Sus scrofa: one gene and its partners. The protein of the gene in region 1 interacts with the protein of each later gene in a biochemical or structural test. Links are inferred from orthologs where the notes say so. Each region holds a gene or a part of one and is shown on either strand. Other genes may lie near its edges.

Region 1 (3,933 bases):
CCAGAGGAAAGCTTACTGGGATGGATTACTGAAATTTTTTCTTTAAGTCATGCTGCATTTCCTGAGATTTCTCCTTAATGGAAGCAAATTTATTCTTGACCAAGTCTAAGCATATAGTTATTTTTATGTTACATGTCTTTCTAGTAATAAATTCTGTTTTGTATTATACTTTGTCTTGACAGTTACAAATGAAACTGATGGAAATGAAAGAACTGGAAAACAATAATAATCAATCAAATTGGTGCAGTAGCCCACACAGCATTCTTGTAAATGGCACTACAGATTATTGCAGCCTCAGCACCAGCAGCAGTGAAACAGCCAATCTTAATGAGCACGCTGAAGGCCAGAGCAACCTAGAGTCTGAGCCCATACATCAGGAGTCCCCAGTGAGTCTAATAGCTCCTTAACTTTCACAATCGTCTTCAGGAAAAAAACATTGACTCAGATCAAAGTTTTGTTGACATCATACCTAATATAAATATGTGACCTTGCTTCATCTGGGACAATTGAGATTTTTTTTTTTTGAGAGACAGAGAGTGGGTTCTCACAGTTTTACCTAATGTAAAAATGTAATTTTTAATGATCCATTTGTTACAGAGCATGTTTTCGAAACAGTGGTTCTATAGATAGTAACTTTTTAAAATAGTTTTTAAGTACTCTCACCCAAAGCTGCAAGTAATTCTCTATTTCATAATGTTGAGGACATTTATTTACTAATTATTTGGAGACTACCAGCTAATGCAAGTGTGCAGTAGTGTTAGCGTGAAAGCTGCAGAGAGAAAAGACCTTTAACCCTGTCAAGCATACAGCCTAGCTGTGTGTGTGACACCAGGTTAAAAGGCTATGAAAAAGTAAGCATAAGGTATTCAGGTAGAGCAGCTTAGAGGAGGCTCAGAGATGTTGGAAGGAAAGTTTTACATGTGACCTTTCAAGTGTGGAGGGGTTAACAAAGGAGAAGGTGGTACATTCCTCGCATAAGCATAGGTATGAGATGGGAAAAAATACACTGTACAAGGTCATGAGAAGCTGTCGGAGGATATTTTTTGCTAGTGGGAAGTGTATTGGTGGGAGATGAGGCTCTGGTACTTAAGCAGAATAGAGGTGTCTGTGACCCCCTCCAAACTTGTTGAACTATAGTGTCTGGGTTGGAGCCAAGTACATACATTTTAAAAACAAATTCTGTGGGTGATTATGATGTGTACCTGGATAAAAATGACCACTTTTAGGTCAGAAAGGGCCGGAGAGTAAGACATTTGGATTCATCTTGAAGCATTGGGGAATTTGTCTTATTACAGTGAGTAGCCATTGAATTTTTAAGCAAAAAGTGACAAGATTAAATTTACCTTTTAGAAAATGTGGATAACGGAGAGCAGGACTGGACACACAGGGATATATTGAGAGACTGTTGGAATGGTTTCTGTAAGAATTGTTTTAACCTAGACTTAACCAATTACAGGAGGGATGATGAGAAGAATACAAATTTCAGAGATATTAAGAATGGAAAATTAACAGACTTGATTTTATTTAGATACTGTAGTCTTGGATATATTACACGATATTCCTTTAAGTGCAAAATGCAAATTACTAAGTTATCCTTCTAAGATACAGGGTGTATGAAATGAACATTGCCCCTTCCACTTTTTTTTTGACCTTGCCTGCAGCATGGGGAAGTTCCTGGGCCACAGATTGTAGCCTTGCCACAACATTGACCTAAGCTGCTGCAGTGACAACCCCAGATCCTTAACCTGCTGCACCATAAGGGAACTCCATCCAGGCCACTTCTTAAGCCTTACTATCTACTGATCTAAATCCAGAAAGCAGTGGGAAGCCCCTTGAAGGACTTTAAACCAGAGGGTCAGGATCAGATTCACTTTTTAGATCTATTACTTTGCCTACTCTAAGAAGGATCAATGGAAGGACACATTAGAGGCAGGAAGGCAGTTGGAAGGTTATTACTACAGTAATCTGGACCAGAAATGATGATATGGTAAGTGGATGATAGTGACAGTAGGGAGAGGGAAGAGGGAAGGATTTGAGAACAAGGTAGGAGGTAGACTCAGCAAGACTTGGAATCTAGCTTGGGAACGACCAAAGGGAAGTAGTTAAGGAAGACCTGAAGTTTTCTGGCCTTGAAAATTTTTTTTTTCTGGCCTTTTGTTTTATTTTTATTAGAGTACAGTTGATTTACAGTGTTGTAATTTTATTTTAATTTTATTTTAATTTTTATTATGGTCGATTTACAGTGTTGTATGGCCTTGACCGACTTTGATGCTTGGTGATACCATTTTCCTAAGAAAGATTATATAGAGGCAGGCATTCGGTGAATAAGTTCTGTTTGTCTTTTTAAATTTTTTAGTAATTTTTGGCTATTTTTTGTCAGTTTCCTCTGCCAAGTAGAAAATACATTGTTAGTCCATGCAGAATTAATATTTTGTAGGCAAGAAGTAGTCCTGAAATACTGCCTTCTGGTGTGACTGATGAAAACGAAGTGGTGACTGCAACTGTTAATGAAAAAGTTTGTCCTGAATTTAATAGTGACGGACATTCAAAAGAGGTAAAATAATTTTATATGTAAATGTTCTTATCACTGGCTTCCCAAGATGGGTTTTGATACATTACTTTAGGCAACATGTTATTTTATTTTAAAATGTAAAAACTTTGGTTTCTAAAGCTTTTTTTTTTAATTTAAAATTATTTTCAGGAAGATCCATTTAATGTAGAATCAAGTTCACTGACAAATCCAGTTGCAGATTCAAACTTGGATTTTTTCCAGTCTGATCCTTTTGTTGGCAGTAAGTATTCTTATTTTTATATTATTGATTTATCAGAAAGGCTTTTTTGTTTCTGTTTTTGTTTTTGTTTTGTCTTTTTAGGGCCACACCTAAAAAGACCACACCATATGGAAGTTCTCAGGCTAAAGGTCAAATTCTAGCTGCAGCTGCCGGCCTACACCGCAGCCACAGCAACTTGGGATCCGAGCCACATCTGTGACCTACATCACAGCTCATGGCAATGCCGGATCCTTAACCCACTGAGTGAGGCTGGGGATCAAACCCACATCCTCATGGATACTAGTCAGGTTCGTTATCAGTGAGCCACAAGGGGAGCTCTCTATCAGAAAGGCTTAATTAATTAATGCATAAACTATGTAAGAATTAGGCTTTGAGAACCTACTTGTTAAAACAAAAGTAGAAGGGAGAATGAGGATTTATATGCTCAGATTTTAGTATTTGTCCTCTTTTAGGCAACTAAATCCCAGAACTAAGTCTTGGGTTATGTCTTAAGAACCCCTGATTAAGAGTATGCTTCTTTGTCAGAATAGGGGCCAAAAGAAAGAAAGGAAATTGGGCATTCTTAAGTCAACCAACAATTATTTACCAAAAGTGCCAACACCATGCTTTTAAAACAGTGGTTAGCAGCCCAAATTCCTACTCTTAAGGTGCCAACAGTCTTAACTGAAGAAACATAAGTTTAAAAAATTAAAATATCTGATGTCATTGTAAACTACATTAAGTACTACTTGTGTCAAAGCTCTTTTTGCTTTTTATTTATTTCCAAACTCACCTTGTGAAACTGATACCTCAGTTTTTATCAGTTCTAAAGATGAGAAACTGAGGCATATAAATAGAAGAATTTGCTTAGAGTCAAGACAGAAATGAGCCTAGAAATTAGAACTCTCTTTTTTTTTTTTTTTTTTTTTTCTTTTTTTGCCATTTCTTGAGCTGCTCCTGCGGCATGGCATGTGGAGGTTCCCAGGCTAGGGGCTGAATCGGAGCTGTAGCCACCAGCCTACACCACAGCTCACAGCAATGCCGGATTCTTAACCCACTGAGCAAGGCCAGGGATTGAACCTGCAACCTCATGGTTCCTAGTCAGATTCGTTAACCACTGAACCACGACGGGAACTCCTAGAACTCTTTTTAAAAGAAACAT
Region 2 (3,933 bases), about 150 Mb from region 1:
CATCTGCCCCTGGTGCGGCCCTAAAAAGACACAAAAAAACCAACACTACCCTCTTAAGACCAAAACCACTATTTTTCCACTTCCTTAACCAAGAGTGACAAAGGGTACCTGAATAGGCTCTTCCTCTTCACATTGGCCAGATACAAGAAGATCTCCATATTCACCTATACACCATGCAGCCACCTGCACCAAAGGTTGCTGTCAAGAGAAAATCAAAGGTTTCAGTCCTTGAAAGGTGTAATACAAATCGCAGGTCATCTAATCATAAAGGTCAAAACTGAGGCACATCTAGAGTGATAGTAAGAAGAGCATATCAGGAAAATAAAGAGGAATTTCCTCTCTAAAGTAAAAGTACTTACCTGAGAATAATCACCAAGAATTGCTTTGTACAAGCGCTGGACGGTATAGGCATGCATCTCCACACTGTTGGTTATTAACTGGATCAAGTTGGGAACTGCATCATCACGAACATAGCTCCCTGCCTAAAAGGAAATGCAGACAGTTACCCTTAGAAACATACAGTAATGATAAGAAATGTTAGCTAGTACTGCGGTTGTTCAAAGGAGACTACACAGAACACCCTCAAAGGTAAAGTTATTTCCAATTCTCATTCTCATAATTATACACCTCAAACTTCAAAGTCTTACATAAGTGAATATTCTAAGTTTGATTTTACAAAAAATGAAATAAAATCTCTGTCCAAAGTAAAAATAAATATAAAGGTTGAAAATATCAAGAGGTGTTCCTGGAGTTCCCATCCTGGCTCAGTGGAAATGAATTTGACTAGCAACCATGAGGATGCAGGTTCAAACCCTGGCCTTGCTCAGTGGATTAGGGATCCAGCATTACCATGAGCTGTGGTGTAGGCTGCAGATGCGGCTCGGAGCCCACACTGCTGTGGTTGTGGCGTAGGCCAGCGGCTATAGCTCTAACTGGACCACCTAACCTGGGAACTTCCATATGCCTTGGGTGCAACCCTAAAAAGACACACACACACACACACATACACACACACACACACACAAAAGAGGCGTTCCCATTGTGGCTCAGCAGTAATGAACCCAACTAGTATCCATGAGGATGTGGGTTCAATCCTGGCTTCGCTCAGTCGATTAAGGATTTGGTGTTGTCATGAGCTGTGGTGTAGGTCGCAGACACGGCTTGGATCTGGCATTTCATGGCTGTGGCGTAACTTCTATATGGCACAGGGCAGCCTTCAATAAATAAGTAAGTAGGAGTTCCCGTCGTGGCTCTGTGGTTAACGAATCCGACTAGGAACCATGAGGTTTTAGCTTTGATCCCTGCCCTTGCTCAGTGGGTTAAAGATCTGGCGTTGCCATAAGCTGTGGTGTAGGTCGCAGACGCGGCTTGGATCCCGCATTACTGTGGCTCTGGTGTAGTAGGCCAGTGGCTACAGCTCTGATTCAACCCCTAGCCTGGGAACCTCCATATGCCACGGGAGCAGCCCGAGAAATGGCAAAAAAAAGACAAAAAAATAAAATTAAATAAAATAAAAATAAATAAATAAGTAAAATAAATTTTGGAGTTCCTGTCTAGGCGCAACGGAAAAAAATCCGACTAGGAACCATGAGGTTGCAGATTTGATCCCTGGCCTTGCTCAGTGGGTTAAGGATCCGGCATTGCCATGAGCTGTGGTAGAGCTTGCAGACAAGGCTACATCTGGCATGGGTGTGGCTGTGGCATAGGCAGCCACAGCTATGATTAGACCCCTAGCCTGGGAACCTCCATATGCCATGGGTGTGGCCCTAAGAAGACAAAAAATAAATAAATAAATAGTATTTTAAAGTTAAAAAAGAAATTAAAAACAAGAAAAAGAGCAATCAAAAAAGATTTAAAAATTATAAAAAATTTAAAAACATTAGCAAATCAAATAAAGTAATGTATAAAAAGAATTATATGGTACAACCATGCAGGATTTATTCTAAGTATGGACACCTGCTTTGGTATTTGAAATTCAATTAAAGTCAACTGTACTTTAATTAATAAATACTTTTAAAAAAAATCAATTACTGTAACCTAGCACATCAACAGGCTAAAAAATAAAAAGCGTATGATTATAATCAAAGAACTTAAGTCAACTGGACAAATAAAAAGTTGGCGCATTTTTCTTAAAAAAGAGGTTTGGGAGTTTCCTGATGGCATATTAGGTTAGGGATCCAGTGCTGTCACTGCAGTGTCTAGGTTTGCTGCTATGGCACAGGTGAGATGCTTGACCAGAGAACTTCCATATGCCACAGGTGCAGTCAAAAAAAATTAAAAATTAAAAAAAAAATGTTTTAAAGTATGACAAAATATTAAAAAGAGGGTTTAGAAAAACGAGGACCCTGAATTCTCAAATACTAAACATTCCTTAGTTTTAAAAGGTTTTAATTTTCATAATCATTCTTCTTCAGGAGTTCTAATTTTTCCCTTCTTTTGAGCCTCATAAAACCTTTAGGAGTTCCTGTTGTGGCGCAGCGGAAATGAATCTGACTAGGAACCATGAGGTTACAGGTTCTATCCCTGGCCTCACCCAGTGGGTTAAGGATCCAATATTGCTGTGAGCTGTGGTGTAGGTCACAGATGCAGCTTGCATCTGGCGTTGCTATGGCTGTGATATAGGCCAGCAGCTATAGCTCCGATTAGACCCCTAGCCTGTGAATCTCCACATGCCACAAGTTTGGCCCTAAAAAGTCAAAAATAAATAAGCAAATAACAACAACAACAAAAAAACCTTTAAAAAATATGTCCTGATTGATTCATCCTATCTTTTAAAAAATAGTTCCTTATTATTAAGTACATTTATTACCTTTTACAAAATTAACTCATTGTAGAGAAAATATTTAACTGAAAATTTTATTATTTTATTATTATTATTATTTTTTGTCTTTTTGCCATTTCTTGGGCCGCTCCCACAGCACATGGAGGTTCCCAGGCTAGGGGTCCAATCGGAGCTGCAGCCGCCAGCCTACACCAGAGCCACAGCAACACGGGATCCGAGCCGCGTTTGCAACCTACACCACAGCTCACCACAACACCGGATCCTTAACCCACTGAGCAAGGGCAGGGATCGAACCCGCAACCTCATGGTTCCTAGTCGGATTCGTTAACCACTGCGCCACGATGGGAACTCCTAACTGAAATTTTTAAACAGTTAACGATAACATTCTCTCCTACAGATGTTTCATAATTTATTTAACTCATGCCCAGCTGGAGACTCCTAGCTGTTTCCAATTTTCTCCTAGTATAAATAATATTAGGATGAACACCTTTGTATATACATTTTTGTACCATGTCCCTTTGTTTTTCCAAGACAAAGTCCTAAAAACAGAATTAACAAATTAAAAGGTATAAACAAAGACTTTTGCTACACACTATCAAACCGTATTCTGGAAAGATGACACCATTTAAACCCACAAAGCAGTTCCTATTGTGGCTCAGTGGGTTAAGAATCTGAATAGTATCCACAAGCATTCAGGTTTGATCTCTGTCCTCCGTCAATGGGTTATAGATGAGCCACAACGCGAACAACTTTGTAGATTTTTTTTTTTATTTTGTTATACAAGTTTTAAAATTTCATGTGGTCAAATTTGGCCTTTTTAAAAAAAAGAAAAAAAAAACAGTTGTTTTCTTTTTTTTGCCTTTTGCTTTTTTAGGGCTACACCCTCAGCATATGGAGGTTCCCAGGCTAGGGGTCTAAGCAGAGATACAGCTGCCGGCCTACACCACAGCGACAGCAACGCCAGATCTGAGCCATGTCTGTGACCTACACCACAGCTTATGGCAACGCCAGATCCTCAACCCACTGAGCAAGAGGCCAGGGATTGAACCGGCAACCTTATGGTTCCTAATCGGATTCGTTTCTGCTGCACCACAACGGGAACTCCCATATAGTTGTTTTCTTTATATGCCACTACATTTTCGTTTTTAGTC
Region 3 (3,933 bases), about 15 Mb from region 1:
AGGAAAATTAAAGTTCTTGGAGCAAATTCTTAACTTGCAACTTTCTCAACAACAGGTAACTCTCCTGATTCACCAGGCTGTTAGTGCTGTTGACACTCGATCTGTGACAGTCATCTTGCTGTGAATGAAATTTTAAAAGTAGGCACAATGGTATCCAATTAAACAGAGTTTGAGAAGGATAGGGAAAGTTATTCCCATCAGGCTAAGTGCTACAAAAAAGCAGGTGGGGATAAGCATTGCTACTCTTTAAAACCAGAGATTACATCCTACTCGTTTAAGCCTAAATTTACATTTCTCCCAGTCTGCGTATATTTCATCAATAAAAGATTAACGAGCAAATAAACTGGGACTTAATTAAGGAGATAAAGGTGCAAAGTTTTATTTATTCATGAGCTTCATTGGCCCAGTTCTGTCTTCCATTTAGAAATTCAATCCTTTGATACCAGCAAAGTATAGTTCTTTTCCAACTCAATTATTAAGAATCAATAGTCTTTACGGGTAACATTTTAAAGTGATTTTAAATAAGAATAGGGAAGCTAAACATTAAAACAATAACAAAACTCCCAAGGATTCCAGAAAGAAATCTAGAGCTGTCTTCGCTCATTAGATCAGTGGTCAGCCAATGCAATGAAGCGAGCACCTCCCAGAGCCTTGTGGAAGGTGCTGGAGGAGAGAGGTGAATTACAAAGCTGTCCTGACCTGTTCACCCCTCCCTTGACTAAAAGTCTTGCTTTGAGGAGAGCAGAGTGGCCAGGCCATTGGAAAGGGGGGCTTTATTTTTTGAAAAGTTATTTCAGAAAACTCAGAGCATGGCCTAGAAAAAAGAATTCCATCCAAGAAGATGGAAACACACCCCTCTTTGACAGTGGACAACCATCTTTGGGATTGAGGTCTGAACGTAAAATTTTACCTAATGGTCATTTATTATCTTTAGAGATAAGTAAGGAGACTTACATCCCCCCAAAGAGCTAAAAAAGCAGTAGAGGTGGAGGCTCTAACCCTCCAGAATTATAGAAAGGAGCACAGAGGATAGGTTTGGAGAGAATTTTGGTGATGTTGTTGATGACACTGGGCAGTAGAGGTGGGTGTCAGTTTCAGATAAGTTTGGGATGTTTTGTCACTAAACCTTGCAAGAGGGTCTGGAGAGCGTAGTGGTTAAGAACCTAGGCTTGGGATAAGACAGACCGGAGAATGGATCCCAAATATATCATCTCTAGCTGTGTAAATGTGGTCAAATGACTTAACATCCATAAGCCTCGGTTTTCGTGTCTGCAAAAGTGGTGACTGAGAATATTTCCCTCATGGGGTTGTTGTGAGGATGAAATGATATGCATGGTGCCAGGATAAGAAACTATAGCTATTGTTCGTATTGGCAAAATAAAGGCTCTCAGAGTGTCCCAGGGTCAGGAAACTGACTGGTTTTGTTTTAACACAATGTTTCCCAAACTTGTTTGAGTATTGAGTGGTTTTCCCTTTTTGGTTGGGCACAGGAATACCTAATGATATAAAACACTGGTTTTGTTTACAGTACAGGTGACTCTCCAGTCCTCCTTGATTGGCTTGCATGCTCTCACTTTAGAGCACAGGGCAATTAGCAAAGAACACGCCTTGACAGATACTCCATTGAAAGTGGAAGCAGAGATAACTATTAGCCTAGAGACAAAAGCCTTTCCTTTCTGTCTCTTACTAGATCTAAATAACTTAAACTTGGTCGCCTCTTTCAAAGTAAATGAAACACAAATAGCTCTTGACACCGCTGGGAAGGTATCTAAACAAAACCCACAGGAACAGGAGGGAGGGCATTGGAGGATGTTGGCAGACAAACATGAGAACCAGTAGAATAAATGATATGGAAGACACATTAGAAAAATCTTGATCTTTTCCCTGGTATACATGGCAGATCATCCTTTCATAGAGAACACAAAAGGAAGTTTCAAATAAGGAAAACCAAAAAAATCAGATTCAACAACAAAGTTTGCATGTGGAGTCCCCAGATGTACGTTTTGGTTGACCTGCTCCATCATCTGTCACCACACTTGGAGTTAAGCTCATAGGCTGATGAGCATGTTGATGACGACATCAGAGAGCAGTTTGTTTCAGCAGCAGCTTGATGAGGCTGAGGATGCGGTAAGGCATTCTTTTTTTTTTGCTATCCTCTAAAATCTTTTCACACCCTCCTTTTTCTCTGAAGTAATGATAGGGGTTAACACCGTTCCCTCTCAATAAGAAAAACGCAACACAGAAAAAATTAGGAAACGCATTGACCTACAGAGAAACAGGGCTCTTGAAAAACATACAAGCGTAGATGTATACGATGATAAATTGAATAATGTCTGAGGATCTGTAATCAACTGTGGTGACTACAGTTGATAGGTGACTACAGTTGATAACACTGTATCGTATGATTGAAATTTGCTGAGAGTAGAACTTAAATAGTCTCATCAAAAAAAAAAAAAAAGTAAATATGTGACGTGATGGGCTGCTAATTAACTGGGTGGGAAAAATCCTTCCACAATGTCTGTGTGTATCACATCATCACATTGTACACTTTAAAGATCTTACAATTTTATTTGTCAGTTTCACCTCAGTAAAGCAGAAAAACACTAGGGCCCTTGGGGAGGCCTCTGACGAGGAAATCAGACACTTAACGTGAAACTCACGCTAGGAAACCTGTCTTTCTAGAACTTTCCTGAATTCTAAACAATGACATGGCAGGTTTCTCTGAAAAACATACACTTAATGGCAGGGCAGAAGGCAGCGCCCTCCTAAGGGCGGGGAGCACAGGGCAGGACACATCCACAGACTTGCACTATGACTGCGAGCATTTGATGGACTGGGACATGCCACCGGGCATAGGACACCCACACCAAAGGAGGGATGGCTGAAGCTCTAAAGTCAGCGGCCAGGCAGGAGGAGGGTGTTGCTCACACGGCAGCAGCCACGGCCATTCCCGGGCACACGAAGCACACGCAAACAGTAAGACGTACCACTGGTGGTCCCCGTACCACTGCCCGAGCCGGGTCCGGGCGACGAAACCACAGTCCTGTAGGTGGGTGGGGGTGGGGGAGGCGGCGTTGCTCTCTGTCCCAACCCAAAATCTTTCGGAGAGGAGATTGTTTCTAAGTAATCATCTTTAATGAAGGTCTGCTCGGCCACTTTCTTCTGGACCTCTTCTAAATTGAGCGGCGATGGTACATTGCGAGGCGGACCCGGAGGTCCTGGGGGGCCTGGCGGGCCAGGGGGAGCCGGGGGGCCGGGAGCTGGGGAGTCGGCTGGGTTGTCTGATGCAGCTGGTGGGGACGCCACCTTTTCCCTTGGAGTCAACTCTGGAGTAACACGTTCCGGGGATGTGTCAGAAAATTGGACCCACTTATCTTCAGCGTTAACAGCAACAGACTTGGGGGACAACACTGGGCCAAAAATGCTGTCCAAGTCATTGATTGATGGTAGTTTTTCAATTTTGACCTCTGTGGCTGACTGGTCATTTCCTGTGGTTAAAGTAGTTGATTTTAAACTTTAATTACTTTGTTAAAATTATTTGTGGGGGAAGTGGGAGGGGCGAGGCAAAGGCTGGTAAATAGATTGTCTCCTGAGGTGTCTAGGTGGGCAGACTTCATGATGGAAAAATTCTTTTTTTTTTTTTTTTTTTGCCTTTTCTAGGGCATATGGAGATTCCCAGGCTAGGGGTCCAATCGGAGCTGTAGCCATTGGCCTACACCAGAGCCACAGCAACGCCGGATCCTTAACCCACTGAGCAAGGCCAGGGATCAAACCCGCAACGTCATGGTTCCTAGTCGGATTCATTAACCACTGTGCCACGAGGGGAGCTCCCATGATGGAAAAATTCTTGATTGGAGTTGAAGGGGAGGGGAAGGTCCCCTGCCTCTACAATTGAGCATCACCTTTTTTGCTATCATTTACCTGAGTTGGCTA

Evidence for each region.
Region 2: the proteins of EPS15 (region 1) and AP1G1 form a complex in vitro, tested with the Homo sapiens proteins (2 studies listed by BioGRID). The link is inferred for Sus scrofa from reciprocal best matches to the Homo sapiens genes EPS15 and AP1G1.
Region 3: the proteins of EPS15 (region 1) and SGIP1 form a complex in vitro, tested with the Homo sapiens proteins (2 studies listed by BioGRID, with this or other methods). The link is inferred for Sus scrofa from reciprocal best matches to the Homo sapiens genes EPS15 and SGIP1.

What each region holds. Positions count from the first base shown.
Region 1 is NC_010448.4:160,761,585-160,765,517, forward strand, and holds part of EPS15 (epidermal growth factor receptor substrate 15), read left to right. Parts: intron 1-182; coding exon 183-386; intron 387-2,437; coding exon 2,438-2,554; intron 2,555-2,701; coding exon 2,702-2,792; intron 2,793-3,933. UniProt on the Homo sapiens protein: Involved in cell growth regulation. May be involved in the regulation of mitogenic signals and control of cell proliferation. Involved in the internalization of ligand-inducible receptors of the receptor tyrosine kinase (RTK) type, in particular EGFR.
Region 2 is NC_010448.4:14,740,268-14,744,200, forward strand, and holds part of AP1G1 (AP-1 complex subunit gamma-1), read right to left. Parts: intron 483-3,933; coding exon 360-482; intron 199-359; coding exon 109-198; intron 1-108. UniProt on the Homo sapiens protein: Subunit of clathrin-associated adaptor protein complex 1 that plays a role in protein sorting in the late-Golgi/trans-Golgi network (TGN) and/or endosomes.
Region 3 is NC_010448.4:145,894,568-145,898,500, forward strand, and holds part of SGIP1 (SH3-containing GRB2-like protein 3-interacting protein 1), read right to left. Parts: intron 3,489-3,933; coding exon 2,988-3,488; intron 1-2,987.